Linked DNA regions of Macaca fascicularis. The protein of the gene in region 4 interacts with the protein of the main gene of each other region in a biochemical or structural test. Links are inferred from orthologs where the notes say so. Each region holds a gene or a part of one and is shown on either strand. Other genes may lie near its edges. The genes, in order: EIF2B5, KLF5, YWHAZ, GSK3B, LRP6, SREBF1 and MUC1.

The links.
Region 1: of the proteins of GSK3B (region 4) and EIF2B5, one has a biochemical effect on the other in vitro, tested with the Homo sapiens proteins (2 studies listed by BioGRID and IntAct). The link is inferred for Macaca fascicularis from reciprocal best matches to the Homo sapiens genes GSK3B and EIF2B5.
Region 2: of the proteins of GSK3B (region 4) and KLF5, one has a biochemical effect on the other in vitro, tested with the Homo sapiens proteins (2 studies listed by BioGRID). The link is inferred for Macaca fascicularis from reciprocal best matches to the Homo sapiens genes GSK3B and KLF5.
Region 3: the proteins of GSK3B (region 4) and YWHAZ form a complex in vitro, tested with the Homo sapiens proteins (2 studies listed by BioGRID). The link is inferred for Macaca fascicularis from reciprocal best matches to the Homo sapiens genes GSK3B and YWHAZ.
Region 5: of the proteins of GSK3B (region 4) and LRP6, one has a biochemical effect on the other in vitro, tested with the Homo sapiens proteins (2 studies listed by BioGRID, with this or other methods). The link is inferred for Macaca fascicularis from reciprocal best matches to the Homo sapiens genes GSK3B and LRP6.
Region 6: the proteins of GSK3B (region 4) and SREBF1 form a complex in vitro, tested with the Homo sapiens proteins (2 studies listed by BioGRID, with this or other methods). The link is inferred for Macaca fascicularis from reciprocal best matches to the Homo sapiens genes GSK3B and SREBF1.
Region 7: the proteins of GSK3B (region 4) and MUC1 form a complex in vitro, tested with the Homo sapiens proteins (2 studies listed by BioGRID). The link is inferred for Macaca fascicularis from reciprocal best matches to the Homo sapiens genes GSK3B and MUC1.

Annotation. Positions count from the first base shown.
Region 1 is NC_088376.1:96,052,244-96,056,266, reverse strand, and holds the start of EIF2B5 (translation initiation factor eIF2B subunit epsilon), read right to left. Parts: upstream 2,801-4,023; 5' UTR 2,773-2,800; coding exon 2,578-2,772; intron 1,525-2,577; coding exon 1,400-1,524; intron 200-1,399; coding exon 14-199; intron 1-13. UniProt on the Homo sapiens protein: Acts as a component of the translation initiation factor 2B (eIF2B) complex, which catalyzes the exchange of GDP for GTP on eukaryotic initiation factor 2 (eIF2) gamma subunit.
Region 2 is NC_088391.1:64,025,675-64,029,864, reverse strand, and holds the start of KLF5 (Krueppel-like factor 5), read right to left. Parts: upstream 2,801-4,190; 5' UTR 2,476-2,800; coding exon 2,215-2,475; intron 1-2,214. UniProt on the Homo sapiens protein: Transcription factor that binds to GC box promoter elements. Activates the transcription of these genes.
Region 3 is NC_088382.1:110,578,404-110,582,417, forward strand, and holds the start of YWHAZ (14-3-3 protein zeta/delta), read right to left. Parts: upstream 2,801-4,014; 5' UTR 2,687-2,800; intron 2,465-2,686; 5' UTR 2,254-2,464; intron 1,478-2,253; exon of another isoform or gene 1-1,477.
Region 4 is NC_088376.1:163,085,340-163,089,520, reverse strand, and holds the start of GSK3B (glycogen synthase kinase-3 beta), read right to left. Parts: upstream 2,801-4,181; 5' UTR 1,783-2,800; coding exon 1,695-1,782; intron 1-1,694. UniProt on the Homo sapiens protein: Constitutively active protein kinase that acts as a negative regulator in the hormonal control of glucose homeostasis, Wnt signaling and regulation of transcription factors and microtubules, by phosphorylating and inactivating glycogen synthase (GYS1 or GYS2), EIF2B, CTNNB1/beta-catenin, APC, AXIN1, DPYSL2/CRMP2, JUN, NFATC1/NFATC, MAPT/TAU and MACF1.
Region 5 is NC_088385.1:14,883,575-14,886,915, reverse strand, and holds the end of LRP6 (low-density lipoprotein receptor-related protein 6), read left to right. Parts: intron 1-1,852; coding exon 1,853-2,147; 3' UTR 2,148-2,187; exon of another isoform or gene 2,188-2,397; intron 2,398-2,699; 3' UTR 2,700-2,841; downstream 2,842-3,341. UniProt on the Homo sapiens protein: Component of the Wnt-Fzd-LRP5-LRP6 complex that triggers beta-catenin signaling through inducing aggregation of receptor-ligand complexes into ribosome-sized signalosomes.
Region 6 is NC_088390.1:17,916,450-17,920,073, forward strand, and holds the end of SREBF1 (sterol regulatory element-binding protein 1), read right to left. Parts: intron 3,354-3,624; coding exon 3,244-3,353; intron 3,159-3,243; coding exon 3,026-3,158; intron 2,826-3,025; coding exon 2,660-2,825; intron 2,171-2,659; coding exon 1,970-2,170; intron 1,879-1,969; coding exon 1,767-1,878; intron 1,275-1,766; coding exon 1,045-1,274; 3' UTR 501-1,044; downstream 1-500.
Region 7 is NC_088375.1:105,950,651-105,954,618, forward strand, and holds the start of MUC1 (mucin-1), read left to right. Parts: upstream 1-1,168; 5' UTR 1,169-1,230; coding exon 1,231-1,288; intron 1,289-1,761; coding exon 1,762-3,203; intron 3,204-3,302; coding exon 3,303-3,358; intron 3,359-3,506; coding exon 3,507-3,643; intron 3,644-3,788; coding exon 3,789-3,910; intron 3,911-3,968. UniProt on the Homo sapiens protein: The alpha subunit has cell adhesive properties. Can act both as an adhesion and an anti-adhesion protein. May provide a protective layer on epithelial cells against bacterial and enzyme attack.

The DNA.
Region 1 (4,023 bases), about 67 Mb from region 4:
TTCCCATCCTGACCTGTGTTCCTCAAGGGCTCTGGTGATATTGATGTTTGAGATGACATCCCCATACACCAGAAGGAAGTCAGAGCGCACCAAGGCCTTGGCATCAACATCACGGAGGACATCTCCCAGTGATCGATAGAGCTCTGATGTAATTATTCGAACCACATTGAGAGATGTAGGGCGGCACCACTTGGACTTCCTAAAGGAAGGGAGGGTGAGGGGAATGAATATATCAAGCATAAATATCATTTGAGCCTTCCCCATTTTTCACCCCCATTCAGCATTCACAGTCCTCAATGGCTTTTTTGGGTTCTTGCCAGCGTCTTCAACTTCAAAGAGAATCATGAACTACAATGAATGCTTTCAGCATCCTGTGTCACCAGTCTTGTTTTATGGGTTAGGAAACATGGTTATTTCCCCTCCATACCTTGACCCCTTGTCCCTAAACATCAATTTGAACTCAAAATCCTGCTGAAGCCTAGGGTACACAAAGTACCCTGGGAACACACTTCATGTCAGCTTTCCCCTTCTGCAATCCATATAACATTTAGCAACTGTCTGATGGAGACCATGCTAATGTCCTAGTCTTTATTTCCTGGACTTCCATAAGTGATGCGATTCCCTAGTTTTCTTTTTTTTTTTTTTTGAGACGGAGTCTCGCTGTGTCTCCCAGGCTGGAGTGCAGTGGCGTGATCTCGGCTCACTGCAAGCTCCGCCTCCCGGGTTCACGCCATTCTCCCGCCTCAGCCTCCCAAGTAGCTGAGACTACAGGCGCCCGCCACCACGCCCGGCTAGTTTTTTGTATTTTTAGTAGAGACGGGGTTTCACCGTGTTAGCCAGGATAGTCTCGATCTCCTGACCTCGTGATCCACCCGCCTCGGCCTCCCAAAGTGCTGGGATTACAGGTTTGAGCCACCGCGCCCGGCCAGATTCCCTAGTTTTCAAGATTTCAAAAAACATGTAAGTGCTCACTACATGCTTGGGACTGAGTTAGGCAGTGGGAATACAAAAATGACAAGGAACTCATTTATATCCTCGAAGGTGAGAACAAACAAGATTTAGAAACTCAGTGGGAAAACAAAGATGTTATCGTTGTAACTTCCATACTGAAGCCATTACATAAAAGCAAAGTCCACTGGGACCAAACTTTATAATGAGATTCAGAAAAAACCCAAGTTTATTCTTTAATCTTTGTCATAGAAAACCCAAGACAGACAGATACAAAGTTTCAGCTGCTCACCTCCTGATAAGTGTAAAAAATACCCTTAGAACTTACAATGATGTCTAAGTAGACACATTTTTCCCTTCTCACATTTCCCCTTAGTTATATTCATCCTGAAGAAACTGGAAAAAGATGGCGAAACATGGAAAGAAAAGAAGAAAAGTTGCAGGGCCTTACAGTAAATGTTCTTTGATTTGAGCAGCTTTCCAGCAACAAAAGACAAATGTTTCCTGTACACCTGTGGCAGTCAGGAATTCCAGAGTATAGTCAATTAATGCCACATTGGCCAGGGGCAAGAGGACCTGAAGGATAGAAGATGAAAAAAAATTGAGGTCTCGAATCCCTTTGGATACCCCACTGCAACAATTTTCACTCCTCTATTAATATTTCCAAATGGTGTAATTTTGCTGTATCTTTCCAATTCAAAGGTACACAGGTTCCTGCCTTTGATGTTCACGTCATGCTCTAAGCCTGAGTCTGAAACGTTGCAATTTGGGGATGGTAAGTACAGAATCTGTGTGCCTTGTATCAGACACAGAGCTGTGACAGAATGGCAGTTCACCGCTGGCAAAGGATAATACTGGAAATCAATCATATTTCCATAAATTTAAGCATTGCTAAGGCCTTCTTCCCCATAAGATTTCCTTCCTTGATCCCTTTCTAAGTGTCAGAGGTTAGCCATCTCCCGTCACTTTTCAAAAATGAACAGCCATTAGGCTTTTTCGAAAGAATTAGAGAGGATTTTCTTAAATCCCATGCAGTTCCCTCTCTCTGAACTGAGGGCTGCTGAACGACCCAGCTGAGTTCAATACTCCATTGTCTAGACAACTCGGGGGCTGATGGCAATCAACCACTAAACCCATTTTGTCCTTTCGACAGATAGCACCGGGTATCATTAGAACCTGGAGGGGGAAAAAAAAAGTACACTGACCGAGATCTAGCCTGTTCTTTTTAAGGCATATTACCGCCCTTTCAGAGGCAAAAGGTCGTTTCTTTTCACCTAAGCATCCGTCATCTGCAAGGTTAAAAGCGGCGCAACCTCTTCCAGGGGCACTGAATCCCCGCGTGAAGACTTTCTCAAGCGCTGTTTCTACATTTAGCTCTCTTCATTCTTTTCAAACCCGAGGTGTACAGCATTACCAATGCCCAAATCTGCCGGCCACTAACTTGGTCAGCAGTCATCAGGGTTTAAGACAGTACCTCTGCCTCCTTCCTAACCACGTAAACTCGGTTTTAGGATAACAGTATGGACACAAGTCCTTCAAAGGCTTGCCGTAGTAGTTAGCCGAAAGGAGAACTTGCTCCAGCCCTGCCACACTTCCTGCCCTCTGGCTGCTCGCGTGCGCTGCGCTCACCCGAGGCTGGTCCTTGGAGATGGGGAAGAAGCGGCGATCGAAGCTATCGGCCACCAGAACTGCTTGTAGGGGCGGCGGCGGTTCCTCCTCCGCCCCTCTGGCTCCCCCGCCACCGCTGCCTCCCGGCCCCGCGCTGCTGCGCTTGTTGGCCCGACTAACCACCACACCAGGCGGCGCCACTACAGGGGCCGCCATCTTCTTCTCTCACGGCCACCACTTCCGCAAGGAAGCTGACACCGCACGCAATAAGGGACAAAAAGGATCCAGCACTTGAAATGCGATGAACTAATTAACGAAGGGAAGGAGGAGACGAGGAGGGAGCAGTGCGCATGCGTCTTCTGCGGGCGCCCACAGAGTTCTAGGTTGATCCCGGAGGCGCGAGGAGTGGGGACGGGTCGCGGTTGTCCCGGCCCCTGGAGGCGCAGGGTAGGGGTGGGGTCCCATAGACGTCAGACTCGGTCTGCAAGTATCGTCGACCTTCATTTGTCTGTGAACAAGTCGAGATTCTTGCAGCGTGATAGGATTTGTGGTCGCCACGAAGGGGCCAGCTCCATCCGGAACCTGTAATCGTCCAGCAGTTTCCCCGCCCCGCGCATGTGAAATATGTAGCCCTCCGTATTCATTCTAGAAACTTCTGGGAACCCAGCGCCTTGGGGAGATGGAACCGAGCCAGATGTCCCCCCGCTGCGAGGAACTCAGAGCCTGCATAGAGAAGGTGGCATATAGTAGGGAGACTAGTAATTCCATTGAGCGCTGATTTTGGGCTAGGCACGATACAAGCATTATCTCATTTAATTCGTCACATATCTCTGCAAAACATCTTATTCATTCGTTCAGCAAACATTTCTTGAACTCTCAGAAGGATGAAGGAAGTTTACCCATCTAGTAAGTGGAAGAACTGGTATTGGAACCCGATCTGTCAGACTGCAGAGTTCCACAATCTTGCTGCCAAGTTATGTGGGGATAACAATGACGATTTAATGTCATCTATTCATTCTTCCAGCCTATCATCCTCCTCTGTCTTAAGCAGAGTGGAGACAGGGGTGGATCCAGGCACACCAGTAAGTTGTACTGGCATTAAGCAGTAAGCTTTCTGGGCAGAGGAAAGTGCGGGCGTAAAGGTCCAAGGCTTGAAAAGGCGCAGCAGCACCTTTCTCTCTTTGGGGAAAGATGCGGGGGCTGCGGGGAATAAACCAACCCTGCAGAGGGGCGGGGCCGTGGGAAAGCGGTGGAACAAGGCAGGAAGCCTGGGCGTCATTTGGGAGGCAAGAAGCTTTTCTGTAAAGCATCGCGCCCTTTCTGCACGGGACCTGTCCAGGTTCCACGCCACAGGCTTCTGCAGTTCCTGCAAACTTCCCATCCCGCCCCGCGTTGCACGTCGGGATTTGAAGTTTGCGATGCTGAGCGTTGTTTCCACGTGGCGATTCCGACTTGACCCGTCGTGTC
Region 2 (4,190 bases), on a different chromosome or scaffold from region 4:
TCTTGGGAAGGACAAACAATCGGCGCCTACTAAAAATTACCCCAATCCCTGTATAAGGTACTCGGGCAAACTCCTCAGTGTTGCTTATAAACATATCAGGCTTATTTTGTCGATTGTGTAATAATTGGTTGACCAAAACCTTATGAAACTGTGTAACTGGTAAAACTGCTCCCCCAATCACCCCCAAAAGTGAAAGACGCAAATCAAGAAAAAAAAAGAAAGCAAACTGAAAACATTCCTTTCTGATGCAATAACAAGGTATCACCCCTGTACAAGCAGGATTCCCTGCCCCATTACACAGTTAAATTTGCAATTAGAGTACACTATTGAAATGTTGCCAAACTACCTCAATTCTGTTTAAGTCATAAACATTAAAAAGCGTGTTTTTTGTTTTGTTTTGTTTTTTTACAGAAAAAACTATGCAAACCTTTAAAATATTGCAAAGGTTTATTTGGCTAGACACTTCAAAAGTAATATAAAAAATATTCTTTGGCTACTTCTGTGTCTTTTCTTGTTTACAGTTCAATGAGAAATACAATGTTCTAAGCAAAACCTTGTATCCACTGAAACAAAACAATTTCACATTCAATATTTGACCTAAAGGTTGATTTTAATCAGCAGATCCTGTAATTGGTTAATATGATAATGAAATGTTCCTATTCATACCCCTATCTAAAACAGATCTTTAATTACCTAGGGGAAAATCACTCCCTCGCTAGAGTGCTGCTAAGGAGCCCGTGGGTGGGGAGGCTGCTGTATCCCTAGCACAGTCATCAGCAAAACATTTATCATGTCCTCCTCAGTGGGCCAATGCTACATTCCCCCCGACTCTGTAAAAAGCTCAGTCATCCCTTATCTTCTTGTGCCTCCAGAGCAGAAAATTGACAAACTGAAATAACCAAATACTTTTCAAACGATGATCTCTTTTCTAGGCTTTTAAATCAGCTTGTAACAAGTCGCCTCAAGCTTTTTCCAGCTATCTTCTCTCCTAGTATAACTTAAGCCTACATTTTTTAACACTGAAAAAGGAAATTTCGAAAGATAAGATAACCAACTAGATGGAATGGCGCATAGTATTAGCTTGGCACCTTAATCGGTAAATAAGACAGTCATTTTCTGCTACTACTTCATTTCAAATGCGTTTCATCTCGGACCTTGGTGTGGATCCGGACGGGGTTTCCCGGATAGACACGATTTAAAAATAAAAATTAACGCTCACGTCATGTGAGTCACATCTCTGACAAATGCCACTGCCCTCTCACAGCAGGACCCTGACAGACCCCACGGAGTAGGCGCTGGGTAGCAAATATGCGATACGCCAAAGGGCTACTAAATGAAGTGTCTTGAAATAAACTGAACTAAACCCTTTCGTGCACTGCGCTCCCGCGGCGGTTAGTGGTTTCTGATTTTAGCTCTTCCAGCTGTTTGCATGTGGGTATGTTTCCAATTTTTTTTTCCTTGGGACAGGCTAAAAGTCCCGGGAAGTTTTTTTCTGGGCTATATGACTCCCTGCGTGGGCGAAAGAAACAGGCGGTTGCTCTAATTCGGCTGCTGGGCAAGTGTAAAAGCCAACTGCCAGCTTTCAACGCGGCTCCGGGAGGAAATTTACGCGCACACGAAGAAAACAACACCCCCGGTCTTTTTTTTTTTTTTAAGGAAAAATAAGCGCTCCAACACAACCTTAGCTTTCCTAACTCTCATTTTCCAAACGCGGCCCGCGATCGCTTCTAAAGCAGGTTGAGCCACCGGCTATGAAATCTTGAGCAACCTCTCCCCAGCACCCCAATTTGCGTTTCTACTTAACCCGAGACGATGGGGATGGGGGAGCTCCAATGCCTTGGCACTGGGGAGCGGTAAAGGTGAAGACGTAATTTAAGTAAAACTGAGCGTAAGGTACAAGGTTTCGTCCCTCAAGTGTAAGAAAAACAACTAAGGTGCGTGTGAGCACCCAGTTCCCTCCCTCTGATCTCTCCCAGGCCAAGCCGCCGGGGCAGATTCCCCTCTATCCTTCCCCCCTCCCGACCCCTCATTTACTCTCAGCGAAACGCGGGTCCCCGGCCAGGCGTGCAGGGCGGGGCTGCCCACCCAGCACCGGCTCCGGTGCGCCCCGACGCACGCCCCAGCCTGGAGCGGCCCCTGTCGCCCGCGCGTCGCAGCGACGGGACACGCCCGGGCCCGGGAGTGCAGTGGTGGGAGGGGAGCGGCTCTTCCTACCTGGACTAGCTCCTCGGGAGGCAGCCGCGGGCCGGCAGCGGGCGGCTGGGCCGGCTGCGGGGCCTGCGCGGGCGCGGGCTGCGCCTGCGAGCGGTGGTGCGCGTGCTTCAGCTCCTCGCCAGGGAAGAGCGCCGCGTCGCGGGCCGGATTTGCGGCGCCCAGCACGGGCTTGAGCTGCGCGAACACGGGCTCGTCCTGCGGCGCCGGCGGCTGGGGCACGGGTCCCAGGCGGGCGCTCATGCTCAGCACCCGCGTAGCCATGGGCACTCGGGAGCGCGGCTCCGGGCGCGGGTCGGGCGCACTTCCCACCTCGCCCACCCTGGCTTGGGGCGGCGAGCTCGGTGCGGGGCTGCGGTCGGAGGAGGGGAGAGGTTTCGGGTGGACCCCTCAGACAGCGGCAGGCAGTTTTCGAAGGCGCGCACGAAAAGCAAAACTCTTCCGCTCTTCCACACGTAAACGCCAACGTCCTACGGGCGGCCACTTTCTCCCGCCCCGCCCCACTGCGCTCTCAGGCTCTCCAGAGCCCGCTCCCGCCACCGCCGACCTCAGCGAGAGAACTGCGAGCGCGCGTACCTGCCCCACGACTACTGACACTTGACGCCCGCCTCTATTTCACCCAACTCCGGGGGGGCGGGGCCCGCTCGCCTGATTGGCAGCGCCGCCGCGAATCCCGAGGCCTCAAGGCCGGCCGGGCCTGAGCGGCCAGCCTATGAGCAGGGAGAGAGGCAGCCAGGGCCCCGCCTCCGCCGGCCCGACCGCACCCCTCTCGGGCCACGAGCTTCGCGCGCAGGGCGGCCGCGCAGTTTGTACACAACTTCTCTGACAGATTGGGCTGGCGGAGCTGGGGGCGGAGGGAAGTAGCGGAGCGGGTGGAATCTGGGAAGAGGGGGAATTAGGGTGGAGACGCGGAGGGAGAGCTCTTCGCACTGTTCTCTGCCAGGATTAGGAAGAAAAAGAGTATTGCACGTCTTAGGTGTTGTGCAAGGACCTGAAACTCAAAAGCTGAAACCCAGAAGGCAGCTAGGTGGGGGCGCTGAGGCTTTTAGAGATTTGTCTAATGAGTGTGTACTTTTAAATATCCGAAATATACTTCTCTTTAGCAGAAAACTAGGGGCGGTGTGATAAACAAATTTAAAACAGCTCTTGTCTCATGTATCTTTAGCAGTGACTGTATCCATTTAACAAGGCAAATTCAGAATGCCTGAATAAAAGATTTGATGGGAAGCGTTATTTTCAAATCCTCGCATAAAAGCCTGAGTTTTTCCCACTCCTTCAGGATTTTAATTGCTAGACGTTTTCCCACACATTTGTACCTCCTATCCGTGTGTGGGGAGGAGGGCTTGGGCCACATGAATTTTGAAGTTTCTAATATTTAAGCCATGTTGATTCTAGCCGAAGCATGGAATCTAATTTAAGCACGACTGGCTCAAATGTGTACTTAAATAGACATTACATCTTTGACTTATTTTTGCTAGCACTGTATGTTAAAAAAATGGACTTTAATATTTACAAAACAGAAACCTAGCACATTTACCTCACATTGTGGCACCTTTTCCTACGAAGAGACAACCAGAAAGCCACAAACATAGACACATAGACACTGAAAACTGGGAATCCAAATTTGTTGGAAGGTAATAGCCAAATATATTACCGTCCATTTACTATGTTGTTATAATGGGAGGGTGAATTTTTGCCAGGAATCACCTAAGGAAACCACTTCCCTTAATCCTTAATGTTCTTGTACATGATTTTATCTGGCTTATTGGGAGGACGGAACAATAAACTGCAATAAAAATGCTTGTGATATTACTACAAATGTACATATGTTGACAGCACAGTATACCATTAGACAGTTTTACATATACGACAGCCTACTCATCGCTTCAGAGTAAAACAGCTTTAAAAAAAAAAGTATTTGAAAAAAACGTTCACTTCAAAGAGCATATCTATCAAAGGTATGGATCTCATTTTCAATG
Region 3 (4,014 bases), on a different chromosome or scaffold from region 4:
TACTGCAGAGTGTTAATTCCCCCCTCCTCCGACCGAAGCCAGAGGGAGGAGCAGCCCGCGCCCCCGCCCAAGCCGTGGCGCGGCGGGTGGGGGGGAGCGAAGCCGCCCGACCCCGGGGCAGAGACGCCACAGCCGCCCGCAGAAGCGGAACCACTACCAGCCCCGCCACGGACACACCCCGCTCTCCCACCCAGCGCCTTCCCCGCCACCGATCAGCGCCGATGCCCGTGTACAGCGTCTCTAAGGGACCGACAGCTGCAGGTGGGGGAGGGGACGAGAGCCACACCCAGCAGAGCGGGCCACCAGCGGCTATGCTCAGGGTCACCCGCCCCCAAAGCAGGATATGCGTCCCCAAACCGAGCGCAGGGAACCTCCAGTTCTAGTCCATCACGCACGGAAGCCGACGGCGGGCTCCCCACCCCGCTCTCTACCCCCACCTGGACTCGCAGCCCCCGTCCGCACCTCCTCCGCCCGTTCGAAAGGAGCAAAAAAAGTCAGACCCATCCCCCACCCCCACCAGGAAATTTCAAGTCCTTCCTCCCACCGCGGAGCCCACGAAATTCAGCTCTAGGTCGCAGGAGAGCCCCACCCCAAAACCTCACCCCGCAGTGTGCTCCCCCTCGCGCCGGCGCGCGGCCTCGCCCCGGTCTACCTGGCGGGCGCCGCCGTGCCAGGCCTGGGCTCCGGCCCGCTCTCGGCCAGGCCTTTCCCTCGCTCCTGGATCCCCGAGGCCCCCGGCCCCTCCCCGCCGCGCCGCCGCCTCCCGGGGTGGGGGAGGGCCGGGTCCCGCCGCCGCAGCGCCCAGCGCAGAGGCTGCGCGAGGGGGAGGGGGGCGGGGGAGGGGAAGGAGGGGGCGGCCGAGGGAGAGAAGAGGGGGCGGCCTCACCTGCGCCACTGCGATGCCCGCCGCCGCCGCCGAGTCATTATCTCGGGCGGAAGCGAGAAGGGCGACGAGGGAGGGGGTGGGAGCCCGCAGAGACAAGGGTGGGGACGGATCGCGGCCGGCGGCGCCCCGGCCATGCCTCGTCCACCTTTGGGAGCCGGCGACAGGGGGATCCCCAGGGATCTCGCGTGTGGGCGCCCTCCCCACCCCCGGGAGCAGGACGGGGGAGCGAGCACCGATCGGCGCCGGGGCGTCGATGCGGAAGCAAGGAGTCGGAGGCGGCCGCTAGCCGCCCGCCCGAACTCAGCGGAAGAGGAGCCGCCGCCCGTGTCCGCTGAGGAGACTCCGCCTCAGCCCGGCGCCGCCACCGCGGGGCTAGTGGGGATGAGAGGACGGAGCGAGGACGGCTCCCACGCGTTCGGAAGGCTGGCCTGGGACAGGAAGGAGCGGGGCGCGGCGGCGGCCAGGTTCCTCACCTGTGTCCGGAGTGGGTGGTGGCGGCGGACAGACAGGGGCTCAGCAGTCTCTGGGCGGCGGCGGCAGCAGCAGCGGCGAGGCTGAGACTCTGTCCCTGGATCTCGCTGCTCACAGGCTACAGCCGCTCCGCAGACACGGGGTTTCCTCCAATCACCAGCCCCGGCAGCAGGGGCACCACACGCACGATGACGTCAAACGCTGCTATGGCAACCGTTGATTGGTGCCCACAGCGATCTGGGCCCCGCGCAACCGCCGCTCCCCGGCGCGCGTCTTGCCCGCCCGCGCTGGAGGGCGAGCGGAGGCGCGTGCGTCCTCGCCCGCAGCCGCCACTTCTCCCACCCCGCTCGGCTCCCAGCTCCTCTACGCTTGTCCCGAGTGCACCTAGGCAGGAAGCTTTTTTTTTCTTTTCCCGCAAACCCCCCCACTCCTCGCCTTCCCCTTGGGTCCCCGACGCCCTCTCTCTCCCTCTCCCCTGTGGCCTCCGCCGGTCCACTCTTCCTCTCAGCCTGTGGGAAGGCGCTCTCTCCCTACCCCCACCTTAGCTTTCGCTCAGGCCGTCTGCGCTTGCCCCAGTCACTCCCTCTGGAAGGGGCTCCCGTTCAGCAACATCCGGGACCTTTCACATCCCCCCACCTCTCCCCGAGGCCCGGCCCGCCCCGCCCCGCCCTCCGTGCTTCGCGGTAGTAACTGCCCCGGGGCCGTCCCCGGGCAGGATGACGAGGGTGGCTCGGCGGCTCCGGCATTGTGATCAGGACTTGCGGGGTGGGGGCCGGGCGCGGTCGCACGGCAAGGGAGGGTTGTGTGTGGTGCGCTCCCCCCGCCCCCCCGCCGCTCCCCTTGCCCGGAGGGGCGCGCGGCCCCTCCCGGTCTCCCTCCCGCCGCCGCGGCTTTACCTGCTGGCTTGGGGGAAGCGGCCCTAGACCTTTTATGGCTCGGAAACGGGAGTGAGGCGTCCAGCCCGAGTGTGGCTGAGTGATGGGGAGGCGTTCCAATCGAGAGCTCGGGATCTGCGCTCGGTGACTGCCCGAGGGGACAATGGGTGGGCGCCGAGGTGGGGACGAGATGGGCCGGGCCGGGCCGGGCGGAGCCGGCGGGAGGTGAGGCCTGGAAGGAGGCGCGTCCGCTTTAGGGAAGCCAGAGTTCCGAGGGGAAAGGACAACCTTCTCTGGCGGAGGGCTGGAGCTGGTCCTGGCAGCCTTGACCCGGAGACAGGCAGTCAGGCGTGACCGCACGGACCCGTTTCTCGTAGGCTAGGTTTTCCTACCCAAATAAAGCTTTCACGTGAAGACCTCATACTGCAGTGACTTAACACATGACTATCATTACCTTTTTGTCTCCTAGAAGCAAGGTTTGAGGGACGTCGTAGTCCCCAGGGTTCCAGCTGGCGGTGGGAGTGGACCACGGGCCGGGTGATGAGCGAGGACAGTAGCCCGGAAGAAGGGGAAGGAGAAGGGCGGAAATTGCAGGTGCCTGAACGGGTAGGGCCTCCGCCCAGTTGACTTAAGGAAGTTCAGAGAGAAACATTCACAGTGCGCTGCCCCTTCACTCTTTAAATGTGTTCGGGCTAAGAAAAGGTTAGTGCCTGGATGACCTGCAAAACCACTTGCAACAGTCATAGAGACTGTACGGTTAGCAATGAGAGCGCTTGGAACTCTTTATTTTACCCTTGTGTAAACTCCTCATTGATTCTTCCAACGTATCTTTATTGAGCTTCATTTAGCCCCATGTTCTCTACAGAATTTAGTTTCTCAGTAGTAGACACGAAATGACTGAGTCCTCGCTCTTCCAGTACATTGTCTTTCTTGCATAATACAGTGGACCACAAAGCTGCTCTACAAATTACTTTTTGCTTGACATGACAGCTGGCATTTAGATAGTACAGACCAGAAAGAGAGTTTCCAGTGACCAGTTCCATTTCAGTGGGTTTTTTGTTGTTGTTTTTCACAAGCTGCCAAATCACAAATTCATGGTAGGTTAAATAGATGAACAAATTGGAGTTTTATTTCTGAGATGTTAGGGTCAACTAGCTTTGACTCTCAAGTAAATTCTTTTTAGGGCGTGACTCACTTAAAATGACTAATATTTCAAAAGCTATTTTTTTTAACAGTTTTTTCCAGTTTTGTGGTAGGCACCAGAAATTTGACAGAGGATACTAAGTTAAACGTTTTTTAAAATGGAAATTCATGTTTCTTTAATGTCTCAAATATATGTCTATGTAGCGTGTATGCCTTTTGTTTCAGAGGAGGTTAAGGGGTTTCTCTATAAATTGTGAGTTTAGGAAAGAAAGAGCTAAGTTAGGTTTTTGCCTCATGCTTTAATAGAAAGGCATTTTTTAGCGCAACAATAGGCACTGTTAGGTTTTACGTACTCAAGTCAACGTGTCTGCACAATAAAGATACAATGAAGCTGCAAGAAAGGAACAGGGGATGTTATGAAAGTCCTGAGGAAAAGATCTTTCAAGAAATAAGGAATAACCTATGGCATACAGAGCAGAATAAATAGAACCTATGAACCCTGGGAACGTTGCTGGAGACTTTCACTAATACCCTGACCTGTTTTATTTTCTTCAATGCGCAACTCTTACCTCACTCAAGTTGGTTAACCTCTATGTGCTTTGATAGCCACGGCAATAAAATACTGGCAACAAAAACACT
Region 4 (4,181 bases):
AGGCTCTTAAGTAGTTATTATAAGATTTGTATCATCATAGCTGAAAATTACCCCGGAATTTTAAAATATTTTTCAAATGACTCCATGAAGCGCTTAGAAAGCACGACCCTTCCCTGAAAGATGCATAATCAGCTGTCCTCTTTTCCTACCCCGGCATTCTCTACTTGCAAACCACCGGGGGAAAAAAAAAATTAACTTTGAAAAATAATCTCCCATTCAGCTATTACCTAGACTACCCTGTTTCAGGCTAGTTCCCAAAGCCAACACGAAATGAAATCTTGAGTTCAACTAAAAGTGATCATTTTATGTTGCCTAAGAATATAATCAATTTCACATAACATACATGTTTTTTGTGTGTGTCAGTTCTTAAAATCTCAGTTTTTTAGTTCTCTTCGTTCTTCTAAGCAACACAGTAATTTCTTTGCCCTCATGATGACCCTCTTTCCCACAATAAGGAAACAACATAGATATTTTTGTTAAATTCTGAAAGTATGTTTAAACAAGCTGTCATTAAACACCACATGAACTTCTCCATAAATAGAGATACACTGGAACATTAGATACTTAGTATATACTAAACATTCAAAAGCATACTTCTCAGCACAAACCCAGGACAAGAGTAGTCTATCTACAACCCTGAACACAGTCCAAATATCCCTATTATTTGCAGGACCACAGCCATCTGCAAAAGCCAAAATGGAAAGGACTAAATCCACATTCTTCTAACTAAATCCACAGTTATCTAAATGTGATGGAAACTAACGCAAGAGTATTTTAAATCGTCCTTTTTAAGGAACCCCCCAGAACATTTAACAGGAGCGCAACAGTACTCCAAAATTGAACTTAAATGTAATGAGCCAGTGACAACATTTAACTTACTATTTGGCACTATGACAAAACAAATCTCAATCAAAACCTGGACCTATTAATACTTCCATGTTACCTTTTGATTAAATATAAATTATACGGTGGCAGGTTGGTAATGTCAAAACAGGAAGGTTAAGAGAGAACACATCAAACCACTAATCCAATCGAACACAAATGCATACAGAGATGCTACTGCTGCTGGGTATTTATTGGCTCCCACTAGTCCCTTCTAAAGAGAGAAATCAATGACAGCCTCCAAATGTGAATGGTTACTGAGCAAGTTCATCCACAGATTAAGAACAAATACTATGTGTAGTCATACAGACAAGAAAAAAATGTTGGGAGGGTGGGACGTTTAATGTCTCTATTAAGTATACCAAACTATGATAAATCCTGAGACCTAAAATACCCTCTTATTCCAAAAGACATACATTCTGCAAATGTGCACAATGGTTTATTAATCAAATCTTGTCCTTCTCTTTATTCTAAAGGATGGGCAAGTAAACACGGTCATCACTAACGTGGAAACACTCAAGCACTTGATGAAACTGACTACCAACAGCAAGAAAAGTATAAGAAAGCAGTTTCAAATCGAATCATCCAAATAAAAATCATATTATCTCAATTCAAGGTTAATGAGACCGGGGGAGGGGGTATGGGAGGAGTAAAGAGGGAGCTGCTTCATCCTTGACTGAAGATAGGTTTTGCCCTTTTCCATTGCTTGTTTGTTATATTAGGAAGTCTAATATTTTCAGATCCTGGTATTCCGAGATTTCTTATTTTAAGGGCGAAGTGGAAAAGGGGCGTAAAATAAAATCAATACTCACTGCTAACTTTCATGCTGCCAAAAGCTGAAGGCTGCTGCACCGGCTTGCAGCTCTCCGCAAAGGAGGTGGTTCTGGGCCGCCCTGACATGATCACTCTCTTCGCGAATCACCTTTTCCTTCCTTCCTCCTTTTCTTCCTTTTGTCTTTATGTTGGGGTGTTAGGTTAATGATAAATGCAGCATTAAGTTCTCCCACAGAAGAAAAAGAAAAAGACTTCGTCCTCTTGGTTTTTCACTCCTTTTGTATACTATAAAAAACAAAACAAGCGATGTATTTCTCCTTCAAGACAGATCGGCACGGATATTTAACATATAGATGATTTACGGCTGGGGAAAAAATACAATTCCTTCCCCTCCCTTTCCTGGGAGGAGAGAAAAGAAGGGGCAAATCCTAAAAAAATATGTATCACGTGAAACAGGGGCAAATACTTGATTGAAAATGAGTACTTCGAATATTATATTTTCCTCGGGGATTTTTTTTCCGAGTCAATGAAGAAGGGAAGCGGCGGAAGGATCACGAGTCTCACGCTTGAAGAGAAAGGGGGATGGGTAGGAGGGAGGGAGAGGGAGGGAGGGGGTGGCTCGGAGATGCGACGGGAAACGCTGCAGCTCCGGCAGCCGTGGGATCCGGCGGGCTGACGGCGGGGGCCCGGCGAACTGGAGGGCGGCGGAGTCGCGAGTCAGTCAGAGGCGGGCGGTGGCGGCGGCTCCTCTCCTCATTGCGCCAGGAGCAGCTGCAGGCGGCGGCTGGATCCAGCGGCCATGGCGGCGGCGGTGGCGGAGGCAGCTCCCTTCAGACCCCAGGCAGCGGCTCCTCGACTGCTCCCCATACGCCGGGGACATGGGAACCCGGCAACCGCTTCCGTCCCTCGGGGCCCCCTCCCCCGTCCGCGGCAACAGCTCGGCCGCCCTCCCGCCCCTCGCCTCTGTTCGGTGCCCGCTCAGGAAGTGTCCGCGCTTTGCCCCCAGCCCAGAACCCTGTCAGCGGCTGCGGGGCCGGCTCCTCCTCGCTTCCTTCCTTCCTTCCTTCCTTTGTCACTCGGCCCGGGCGGCGGCGGCAGCGGCGGCACAAGCCCGCATTCGCCCGGGTCAGGGGCTGCTCTGTGTGAGAAGCGCTGTCTGCGCAGCCGCCTTGCACTTCCCCACTCCCCCTCCCCCTTCCTACTCTTCCTCCACCTCCTTCCTCCCCCACCCAGCCTTACACCGCCCAGCGCACCGCCGCCCGCGTAACAGGCGTCTGGGAATCGCCGCCCGAGCCCCACTCTCGCCCGCTTCGGCTGGGAGCCGAAGCCCGAACGGAGCCAATCACGGACGTCGTTTGTTTGCGGCTCCTCCCGGAAAAAGCCGATCGGCCTGAGAAACCAATTAGAAAGTGACGCTGGAAAGCCACGCCCAAAGAGCGGAAAATGCCGAAGGCAGCCGAACGGAAAGGGTGATTTCGCCTGGTTCGGTGGCTGGCTGGAGGAGACATTCGACAATGGCAACAGTGGCCAATCAGAGTCGCCGGCCCTCACGAAAAAGCTTGAAGAGTTGAAGACGGTGAAACCCAGAGACGCTGGTGAAACTGCACGGTTGGGCGCCGCCGCCGCTTTGTAATTGGCTGGAAAACTCCGCTGGGAGCGTACCTCCCTCGGTGATTGGTGAAGGGAAGGGGGCTTCCGAGGACAGTTTGGCCAGTCAGGACTCCCCCTCCCTCTCCAAGGTGGGGAAAAGAAAGCGAAGGGAGGGCGTCTATAAAGCGCCGTCTCATTGGCCGGAAGCTTAGGCGCTGGAGTTGGGGCAAAAGGGAGAGGGTGGAGCTCGAAACTCGCGGCGGTGGCCAATCGGCTCTCACTGCCGTCCAATCGCAAGACCTAGCTGCGGTGTGATTGGCCTTCGGCCTTCGTCCCAGGACCTGGGAGATGCCCGACTAGGGTCGTGGCTGACGACCCGACGGCTCGCCTGCGGCCTCCAACTACGGTGGAAACCGCAAATAGGGACCGCCTGCCCTAGGCGCAGCAAATCGGAAAGTGCTGCGGTCGGCGGCGCTGGGTTCTAAGCGCTCAAGCGAGCAGAGGGGTCGAGGGGTTCTCCCCATCCACAGGAGGCTCTCGGCGGGGCGCAGCCAATTCTGCGCGCCTAAGGCTCTCCTCTGCCCTGGATCGCGTGTGCCGGGTGTCGGCCTCTTCCCCGAAAGGGCCTGACGGACAAAGGGGGCCTTCCCAGCCGGCAGCAAGCTCTCAGACGCTAAAATGGGAACAAAGCTTCTTTGGGCGGCCGCGCCCCGCCCAGCCTCGGGGGCCATTGATAGAGAGGCCCGCTGCGCTTGGTGTGCGCGGCCCGGCCGGGCCTCTGGAAACGCCCATGAGAAATGAGCTCATGCTGGATGCGCGCGCTCCTTGGGCGCAACTGCCCAGCGCAAAACGGGCCCCGAAAGCAGGTGAGGGGAAATGCCGTCAGGCCGGATATCCTGAAGCCTCCAAGGAAATGGGGGGTTAGAGGAGCCCGT
Region 5 (3,341 bases), on a different chromosome or scaffold from region 4:
TCTTTAAATCAAATTGAATGAGGCAGTCAGCAGAATAAACATGATTGCATAAAAAACTGTTCTTGCTTAACTATTTTCCAGATAAGCCCAATTTCTGTTCCTCTGAGTCAAAACTTTCATCATTTGTTGAGATTTTGGTCTAAACTGGGACGTGAAAGAATTTTGTTAATTCAGTTTGTTTTATTTTTTTCATGAAAATAGAAGTATTTGGACTTTTAAATGTTAACCTTAGAAATTTCACCAAGGATTGACACCTGATTGGACAAAAAGTTAAGACCAAAAACAAAACAAAACAAAACAAAACAGTAACTGTGACACCATGTCAGTATTGATAGTAAAAGCCTTTGAGAACTCGCTCAGTGTGTCACGTAACTTTTGGTCTCTGGCAGCCTTTTTATTTTTATTTTTATTTATTTATTTATTTATTTATTTTGAGACAGGGTCTTGCTCTGTTGCCCAGGCTGGAATGCAGGGGCACAATCACAGCTTACTACAATCTCCGCCTCCCGGGCTCGAGCAGTCCTTCTGCCTCAGCCACCCAAGTAGCTGGGACTATAGGTGTGTGTCACCATGCCTGGCTCACTTTTTTTAATTTTTTGTAGAGACAGAGTCTTGCTATGATGCCCAGGCTGGTTTCTTTCTTTCTTTCTTTGTTAAAGACTAATCAAATGCAGTAGTAAGAAAGGGAAACAGAGTAGAACAAGGAGTTTGATCTGTACCTGTGAACAATCATGGCAGCCATTTCTTTTGAAGTCAGTCCAAGTGATAGCAAATGGTTTGTATCCTGGGTTCCTGGGATATATTATCTTGTGGTGCTGTATATCACAAGGTGTTTTATGAATGGTTGTATCACTTTTTAACTTGCTTTTGCCCCTTCTCTTGTAGTCAATCCTATCCTCTTGATCCTTTGATGAGAAAGCTTATGAAAAAATCTTTGGGATAAGTTTAAGATCAGCTTTACCATATTTAGAGTAAACGGGTATAAGAAGTTACAAATAGAAGTAGAAATGACAGAAAAGCCAGAACTTAGGTCAAATCTTATTTTCACTAGTATGTTTCTCTCTTTGCAATGCCTTTTTCTTTAGTTAGCAATGCTACAAACCTAACAACTGTACATCCCTTATAAAGATAAATAAGTGTAAGAAATAAGCTAGGCCTCTGAAATATACATTAGAAAATTCACTGACTCTTTATGGGCATTTAAATTTTATCATTTTGATGTTTAAAGCTGCTCTTATGACAGGTACTTATCTATACACAGGGAATGAAAACTGTTTCCCCCAGCCACAGCAATTTCCCTTTGCTAAGGTAACAGTAATGGAATAGTTATGCCCCTGAGGCTGTCTACCAAAATCCAGCCTGGATTGTACAGAAATTGTACAGAATTGTACAGAAGAAAGAAATGAAGTCTTCAGATGTCATTAAATTAATTATTCATCAGGTTAATTTTGGAGTAAAGAATGTTGAGGAAATACTGACATGTTTGAGCAGTATAAAATATGTAAAAACCCATTCTTCCCATAGGCTATGAAACTGCAAAACAAATTTGAATAGTCATTTTTTGTTCTGTGATACAGTTTAACTTGAAGAGTACACTCAGAGGCTAGATTGAATTCACCTCTGCATTTCCATCCTGTTCATTTTCACTTGCCACTTTCTTATTTGCAAATAAAGTACATGCTGTCTTCCTTAGCGAATCTGCCATTGAAAATTGCCTCTTGGTCTGTGTAAATTTAAATGGCAGTAGCTTATTGTTTTCATAGTGTAGTTTACATCTAATACCTCTATTCTGAGAGGGAAAATCATTTTTTTGTAAAACTAACTGCTTCTCTTTATTTTCTTCCTATGCCAGCTACAGGCCATATAGCTACCGGCACTTTGCACCCCCCACCACACCCTGCAGCACAGATGTTTGTGACAGTGACTATGCTCCTAGTCGGAGAATGACCTCAGTGGCAACAGCCAAGGGCTATACCAGTGACTTGAACTATGATTCAGAACCTGTGCCCCCACCTCCCACACCCCGAAGCCAATACTTGTCGGCAGAGGAGAACTATGAAAGCTGCCCACCTTCTCCATACACAGAGAGGAGCTATTCTCATCACCTCTACCCACCGCCACCCTCTCCCTGTACAGACTCCTCCTGAGGAGGGGCCCTCCTCCTCTGACTGCCTCCAACGTAAAAATGTAAATATAAATTTGGTTGAGATCTGGAGGGGGGGAGGGAGCTATTAGAGAAGGATGAGGCAGACCATGTACAGTTAAAATTATAAAATGGGGTAGGGAATACTGGAGATATTTGTACAGAAGAAAAGGATATTTATATATTTTCTTAAAACAGCAGATTTGCTGCTTGTGCTATAAAAGTTTGTATAAAAAAATAAATTTGTACTAAAAGTTTTATTTTTGCAAACTAAATACACAAAGCATGCCTTAAACCCAGTGAAGCAACTGAGTACAAAGGAAACAGGAATTATAAAGGCATCACTGACCAGGAATATCTGGGCTTTATTGATACCAAAAACAAAAAAGAGGAAGAAGAAAAATTAAGTCCATCTCAGAGCAGCAAACCATAGATACTTGGATGTAGCCAGCTAGCCTTCAGTTAACTAACATTTGAGGGCCAACAAGTAAGAAATCATGAAAGGAAAAAAAAGGAATTAATACTAACCTTGGACGAAAGGCTTTGTTTTCTCTAGGAATCCAACAGTGTTAGTGAGGAAGATAGATACTTCTAAAAACCCATTCTGGGTGTTGCTGTTGTAGGAGAGATCAGCCAGAGGTAAGATGCCATGAAGCTGTGTGTGTGTGCAAGTCTCTGTCCCTACCTTTAGAATCCATACCTCTGTCAAAATGAATTTTTTCTCTATGTTTACCTTGCTGCCTCCCCCAGCAACTTGGTAGGTCATTTGGCTAAGATACCAGGATTTTTTTAAGCTGAGGCATTGACTAAATGGAATTTTCTAAATTCAAGTTGATTTTAATATTTCTTCTAGCTCCATTCCCCAGTAGGCTTAGCTCTTCAATTTGACAGCTGTTTTTGCATAATGATCAAAAGTTAGACATATTATTTCTCTTCCAAGATTGTTTTAATGCTCATTAAAATGTCTTTTTACAACACATATAGACAATGTTTAAGAATTAAAAACTTAACCATTATGTTTTTGTTGTAAATTAATCATATATCCTTGCACTACTTTCAGCATATATCACAGTATGAAATCATTTATATATATATATATATATATTTTTTTTTTTTTTCTGAGTAAAACATTTAAATATGTTCTGGTTAGAGACAATCTATTTAAAAAGAATTTTTTCTTATTAGGATTTGCGCTATA
Region 6 (3,624 bases), on a different chromosome or scaffold from region 4:
AGGGAGCCCGCCCTTCACAGAACAGGAAACCTCTCCGCGCCTGTGCCCCCTCTCCAGTGTGGCGGCGGGTCGGGAGGGAGGAGGCTTCTTTGCTGTGAAAGGACCAGGGGCTAGGATGGGGGCAGGTGAGACGTGCCAGACTTGCAGGGAGACCCAAGCTGTAGCTCCTGTCATACAACAAACAGGTCCTGGAGGACAGTCCATCCTCCTCCCATGCCACCCAGGGACCTGATGGGGACACAGCTGGGAGGAGAGAAGGGACAACTGACCCCATCGAGGCCCTAAGGGTTGACAGCCCAAACGTGCCCTGGGAACAGGGGGACAGGTCAGCTGGAGGCCATACAGCCAGCCCTCCCCACTCCCCCTACTAACATCGGAAAGAGCTAAGTTGTGTCCCTCGTGGCCGGAGAGGGGAGGGAAGCCTTTTCCAAGGTGCTGGGGGAGGGCCCAAGCACGCTCACTGGTCAGCACATCAATCAGCTGAAGACACAAAACCCAGATTATAAATAATTTCATTTTTAATTCTCTGTACAAAACTTCTCAATCTATGAAAATAAAGTTTGCAAAAGGCAAAGTAGCACGGGAGCCTCAGGTCAGGAGGCTGAGCACGCTGACCTACACTATGTACACGTCTTCCCACAAGGGAGAGAGAGGCCTCTGGGGCTAGAGCCCCGCTTGCAGTCCGGGAAAGCCAAGTTGGCTTCCGTCAGCGCAGGGAAATGTACCCATCTCTTCCCTCTAAACAGGAGGAAAAAAGCCACTAAGGTGCCTGCAGAGCAAGGAGGGCCCCCCCGCCCCGAACAGCTCGGCTCCTGCAGTGCCCCGATCGGCCACCAGAGGTCAGCACCATCATGGCCGCCGGTATTAGGGTCGGGTTTGCGCCCCTCTGGCCTTCCACCCCGAAGGGACAGCGCAGCCGCGGGTGAACCGTGGAGGCCAGGGTCTCTCGCACTGCCTTCGGCCTTCAGGGCTTCGACACAGGACAGAAGCTGCACGGGACAGAAGTGGCTAGAGACAGGGGTGCTGAGGCCGGGGATACGGGTTCTAGCTGGAAGTGACAGTGGTCCCACCGCCCAGGCGCATGAGCATCTGCTGACAGTCGTGCAGCAGCCGGCGATCGCCAAGCTTCTCGAGCGTGCGCGCCGCCTCAGCCAGCATGCCCACGCGCTGCCCGGGCGCCGACAGGAAGCCAGGGGGCAGGTAGCAGGAGGCTAGCAGCAAGGCCTCCGCGTGCTCCCGCCTCGTGGGCCGCGGCTCCAGCTCCGCCACCGCGCCTGCGCACACAAGGATGTGTCAGGGATGGGGCTCAGGCTGGCCACGCCCCCGCGGGAGCCCCGCCCACACACAAGCAAAGGCACCAGCCGCCCATACCTAGTATACACGTTCCCCTCTCCCCACCCTAGTCTCAGCCCACACATAAAGTCCACAGACTGAGTCACGCACGTGTAGTCATATATCCCACAAATGACAGTTGCCCCACTGATTTCTTGTGAAAGGAATTGTCATCAGGTAACCACCAAGAAGATGCTTTTTTGTTTTTTTCCTTGAGATAGGGACTCTCCCTGTCACCCAGGCTCACTGCGGCCTCCAACTCCTGGGCTCAAGCTATCCTCCTGACTGGGCCTCCCAAAGTGCTAGGCGTGAGCCACTGTGCCAGGCCTGTCTGTCCCGTCTGACACACACGCAGCCTCCCTTGGTATCACACCCCATGTGCGCCCTTCCCTGCTGAGCAGACAGCACATCCCTGGTCAGCAGCTGCCCCTCACCTCCTTTGCCACCGGGGCCTGCCCGCCGCCTGAGACTGCGGTCGAGGAGTTGGTGTGTCCGTGTGGGGCTGGCCCCCGCCATCAGCCGGGCCGTGGCCTCATGTAGAAACACCTGGGGGCCAGGAGAGTGGAGGCTCAGGGCTGTCCCTCTCCACCACTGCCTGACTCCCCATCTTGAGGACAGGGAGCCATTGGGCACTCACCCTCCGCATGGCAGGCCGGAAGCTCTGTGCCAGCCGCCTCAAGCTGCTCAGGTCCCGTTGGAAGCCACGCAGCTCAAGGGCAGAAGCCTGAGGCCCGCTGCTGGTGCCCTGGGCTGCTGGGGCCGGGGCCGGGGGCTGCTGCTGCCGCCACAGGCTGGTGCGTACCACAAGGAGCAGGTCACACAGGAACAGCTGCACGGCCTGGGGGTGGCGGGCAGGGCAGGGTCACCAGGGCTCCAACTCTGGGAGGGGCAGGATGGGGGCCCGCGGTGCCAGGGGCCGGCTCCGGGCTGCACTGCCGAGGCACTGCACCCGCCTCACACACGTGCAATGCAACAGCAATGCACCGCGGGGCCGCCCGCCTCTCTTGGCCCCCACGCCCGCCACCGGCCCAGGAGCAGCTGTCCAGCCCTCCTGATGCAGGGCCTCCAAAGGGATCCTACCACACCATCCACCCCCATCCTCCCAGAATGGGGAAACTGAGGCCAGATAAGGGCAACCCCTCTCCTCTAGACAGAAGCCTTAGCCAAAAAGCAAGGACTGCTGGATCTCCTATCTGCTGGACCCCTCATCCTGTGCTGCTTGGGCTAACCCCATGGTCTTCTGCAGTCCCTGGGGCCTGGGGAGAAGGACCAGGGAATGGAAGGCTGAGTCCCCCAGCCCTGCCAGGCCCCTGACCCCACCCCTCACCTTATCAATGGAGCTGCTGGCTGGTGTGGTAGCCAGGCTGTCCTGCAGGTACCCACTGGCCTTCTCACAGATGGTCAGGCTGGCTGGACCAGACTCTGCCTTGGCACAGCCCAGCAGGGCCCGGGCAGCCTTGAAGGAGTGCAGAGCCGCCCTGGGCAGGGGTCTCCTGTTGGGACCAGGGCAGAAGAGTGCCAATCAGACCAGTCCACAAGCCCTGGCTGAGTGCCTCCCACTGCCCTGGCTCGAGTTCCCTGGGGATAAAAGGTGGTGACCCCTCCTGCACAAAGGCTGAGTGGAGGTACAGTGCCCAGGGGATGAGGGAGGCTGGGCCCAGGGCCAGGCAGGAGGAACCTGCCGTGCACTCACTCAGACTCCTGCAGCACCCGGGGCAGGTGCTCCACCAGTGGGCACAGCCGCTCAGCCGCCTCCTCGTCCCGCCGCAGCCAGTGGATCACCACAGCTGTCAGAGAGGCCCACCACTTGGCCACTGGGTCTATGCCTGCAAAAGAGGGAGGGTCCCCTGAACCCTCAGCCACGCTGCACGGGGACTGAGAAGGGAGCCAGGGCAGGGGCCGGGGGCTCACCGGTGGTGGTGGCCATGCTGGAACTGATGGAGAAGCTGCAGGCAGGAGCCCCCGCGGCATCAGAACAGCTGTTCAGCAGCTGCAGGTACCCGAGGGCATCCGAGAATTCCCTGTGGCAGGAGAGGGTTGGCTGTCGGGACAGATGGCAGGGGTCCTAGGAGGGTGCTGGCCCTCCCCACCTGCCCACTAGAGTACAGCCTGACCCCTGGCTCTGCAAACTGCCACTGTCTCCTCCCATAGGCTGGTGGGGAGAGGAAACCCAGAGAGGAACGAAGGGCGCATGGCACGCATGGTAGCCTAGCTCTGGCCCTCTCCGCAGGGTTGAGGACAGAGCTATTCCCAGAATCCTGCTAGAGGAGCCTTGCGTGGAGGAGGGCACAA
Region 7 (3,968 bases), on a different chromosome or scaffold from region 4:
TGCTGGGATTACGGGCGTGAGCCACCGCGCCCGGCCCGATCTGCCTCTTAAGTACATAACGGCCCACACAGAACGTGTCCAACTCCTCTGCCCACGTTCCAATGTCCTCTCCCACATATCTCAGTGCCCTTTCCACATACCTCAGGACCCCACCCGCTTAGCTCCATTTCCTCCAGACGCCACCACCACGCGTCCAGGAGTGCCCCCTCCTAAAGCTCCCAGAAGTCCACCATGCTGTGCGTTCCTCCCTCCCTGGCCACGGTAGTGACCCTTCTCTCCCGGGCCCTACCTCCCTCTCGCGGGCTCTCGCTGCCCCACTTAGGCAGCGCTGCCCTTACTCCTCTCCGCCAGGTCAGAAAAGCTCCTCAGCCGGCGCGGTCCAGCCCCGCAAGGCTCCTGGTGACCACTAGAGGGCGGGAGGAGCTCCTGGCCAGTGGTGGACAGTGGCAAGAAAGGACCCTAGGGTTCATCGGAGCCCAGGTTTCCTCCCTTAAGTGGAAATTTCTTCCCCCACTCCCTTCTCAGGAGAATGCCAAGGAGGGAACCCAGGCTGCTGGAAAGTCCGGCTGGGGCGGGGACTGTGGGTTTCAGGGTAGAACTGCGTTTGGAACGGGACAGGGAGCGGTTAGAAGGGTGGGGCTATTCCGGGAAGTGGTGGGGGGAGGGAGCCCAAAACTAGCACCTAGTCCACTCATTATCCAGCCTTCTTATTTCTTGGCCCCGCTCTGCTTCAATGGACCCAAGGAGGGCAGGGAAGTGGAGTGGGAGACCTAGGGGTGGGCTTCCTGGCCTTGCTGTACAGAACCTCAACCTAGCCGTCTTTGTTCCCCATTCCCACCTTAGTTGTTGCCCTGGGGCTAAAACTAGAGCCCAGGGGCCCCAGGTTCCAGACTGCCCCTCCCCACTCCACCCTGGAGCCAGGGAGTGGTTGGTGAAAGGGGGAGGCCAGCTGGAGAACAAATGGGTAGTCAGGGGGTTGAGCGATTAGAGCCCTTGTAGCCTACACAGGAATGGTAGGGGAGGAGGAGGAACAGGTAGAAGGTAGGGAAGGGGGAGGGGGCGGGGTTTTGTCACCTGTCACCTGCTCCAGCTGTGCCTAGGGCGGGCGGGCAGGGGGGAGGGGGGCCAGGGGGACTGGTATAAAGCAGCAGGCGCCTGTGCCCGCTCCACCTCTCAAGCAGCGCCTGCCTGAGTCTGTTCTGCCCTCTCCCCACCCAGTCCACCACCACCATGACACCAGGCACCCAGTCTCCTTTCTTCCTGCTCCTGATCCTCACAGTGCTTACAGGTGAGGGGCACAAGGTGGGGAGTGGGCTGCCCTGCTTAGGTGGTCTTCGTGGTCTTTCTGTGGGTTTTGCTCCCTGGCAGATGCACCATGAAAGGCAAGAATTCTGTCTGTGCCAGAAGGAGGGAGAGGCTAAGGGCAGGCTGAGAAGAGATGCTCCCCCCAAAGAGTGGGTGCCAGGGGCAAGCAAATGTCCTGAAGAGAAGTCTAGGGGGAAGGGAGTAGGGAGAGGGAAGGCTTAAGAGGGGAGAAATGCAGGGGCCAGGAGCTGAGGCCTGTGGGCAGACAGAAGGAGGCTGCTGCAGGGAAGGAGGCAGCCAACCCAGGGGCTGCTGAGGCTGCCCACTCCCCAGTCCTCCTGGTATTATTTCTCTGGTGGCCAGAGCTTGTATTTTCTTCTTGCTCTTATTTTTCCTTCAACCCAACCCTATTAGTTTAACTTATCACAGCTGCCACAGCCCCTGAACCCACAACAGTTGTTACAGGTTCTGGTCATACAAACTCTACCCCAGGCGGAGAAAAGGAGACTTCGGCTACCCAAAGAAGTTCAATGCCCATCTCTACTAAGAATGCTGTGAGTATGAGCAGCAGACTCTCCAGCCACAGCCCCGTTTCAGGCTCCTCCACCACTCAGGGACAGGACGTCACCCTAGCCCTGGCCATGGAACCAGCCACAGGTTCGGCTACCACCTTGGGACACAATGTCACCTCGGCCCCGGACACCAGTGCAGCCCCGGGCTCCACCGGCCCCCCAGCCCGCGTAGTCACCTCGGCCCCGGACACCAGTGCAGCCCCGGGCTCCACCGGCCCCCCAGCCCGCGTAGTCACCTCGGCCCCGGACACCAGTGCAGCCCCGGGCTCCACCGGCCCCCCAGCCCGCGTAGTCACCTCGGCCCCGGACACCAGTGCAGCCCCGGGCTCCACCGGCCCCCCAGCCCGCGTAGTCACCTCGGCCCCGGACACCAGTGCAGCCCCGGGCTCCACCGGCCCCCCAGCCCGCGTTGTCACCTCGGCCCCGGACACCAGTGCAGCCCCGGGCTCCACCGGCCCCCCAGCCCGCGTTGTCACCTCGGCCCCGGACACCAGTGCAGCCCCGGGCTCCACCGGCCCCCCAGCCCGCGTTGTCACCTCGGCCCCGGACACCAGTGCAGCCCCGGGCTCCACCGGCCCCCCAGCCCGCGTTGTCACCTCGGCCCCGGACACCAGTGCAGCCCCGGGCTCCACCGGCCCCCCAGCCCGCGTTGTCACCTCGGCCCCGGACACCAGTGCAGCCCCGGGCTCCACCGGCCCCCCAGCCCGCGTTGTCACCTCGGCCCCGGACACCAGTGCAGCCCCGGGCTCCACCGGCCCCCCAGCCCGCGTAGTCACCTCGGCCCCGGACACCAGTGCAGCCCCGGGCTCCACCGGCCCCCCAGCCCGCGTAGTCACCTCGGCCCCGGACACCAGTGCAGCCCCGGGCTCCACCGGCCCCCCAGCCCGCGTTGTCACCTCGGCCCCGGGCACTAGTGCAGCCCCGGGATCCACCGCACCCCCGGGCTCCACCGCACCCCCAGCCCACGATGTCACCTCGGCCTCAGACTCTGCATCAGGCTCAGCTTCCACTCTGGTACACAGCACCACCTCTGCCAGGGCTACCACCACCCCAGCCAGCAAGAGCACTCCATTCTCAATTCCCAGCCACCACTCTGATACTCCTACCACCCTTGCCAGCCACAGCACCAAGACTGATGCCAGTAGCACTCACCATAGCACAGTACCTCCTTTCACCTCCTCCAATCACAGCACTTCTCCCCAGTTGTCTCTTGGGGTCTCTTTCTTTTTCTTGTCTTTTCACATTTCAAACCTTCAGTTTAATTCCTCTCTGGAAGATCCCAGCACCAACTACTACCAACAGCTGCAGAGAGACATTTCTGAATTGGTGAGCATCAGCCTTTCCTTTCCCATGTTCCCCTGAAGCAGCCATCAGAACTGTCCACACCCTTTGCATCAAGCCTGAGTCCTTTCCCTCTCACCCCAGTTTTTGCAGATTTATAAACAAGGGGATTTTCTGGGCCTCTCCAATATTATGTTCAGGTATAGTTCTGGGTGTGGACTCAGTGTGGTGGTTGGAGGGTGGGTGTTGGTCATGACCTTAAGGAGGGACTGGTGCACTCAAGGTTGGGGGAGAGTCCTGAGCCAGAGCTGGGACCTGTGGCTGAAGTGCCCATTTCCCTGTGACCAGGCCAGGATCTGTGGTGGTACAATCGACTCTGGTCTTCCGAGAAGGTACCACCAATGTCCACGATGTGGAGACACAGTTCAATCAACGTAAAACGGAAGCAGCCTCTCGATATAACCTGACGATCTCAGACATCAGCGGTGAGGCTACTTCCCTGGCTGCAGCCCAGCACCATGCTGGGGCCCCTCTCCTTCCAGTGTCTAGTTCCCCACTTTTTCCTTAGTGCTGGCAGTTAGAGGGGCACCTCCTCTGGGAGACTGCCCTAACCACTGCTTTTCCTTTTAGTGCGTGATGTGCCATTTCCTTTCTCTGCCCAAACCGGGGCTGGGGTGCCAGGCTGGGGCATTGCGCTCCTGGTGCTGGTCTGTGTTCTGGTTGTGCTGGCCATCGTCTATTTCATTGCCTTGGTGAGTGCAGTCCCTGGCCCTGATCAGTGCCCACCCCCCCGCCGACAGAAAGCACTCC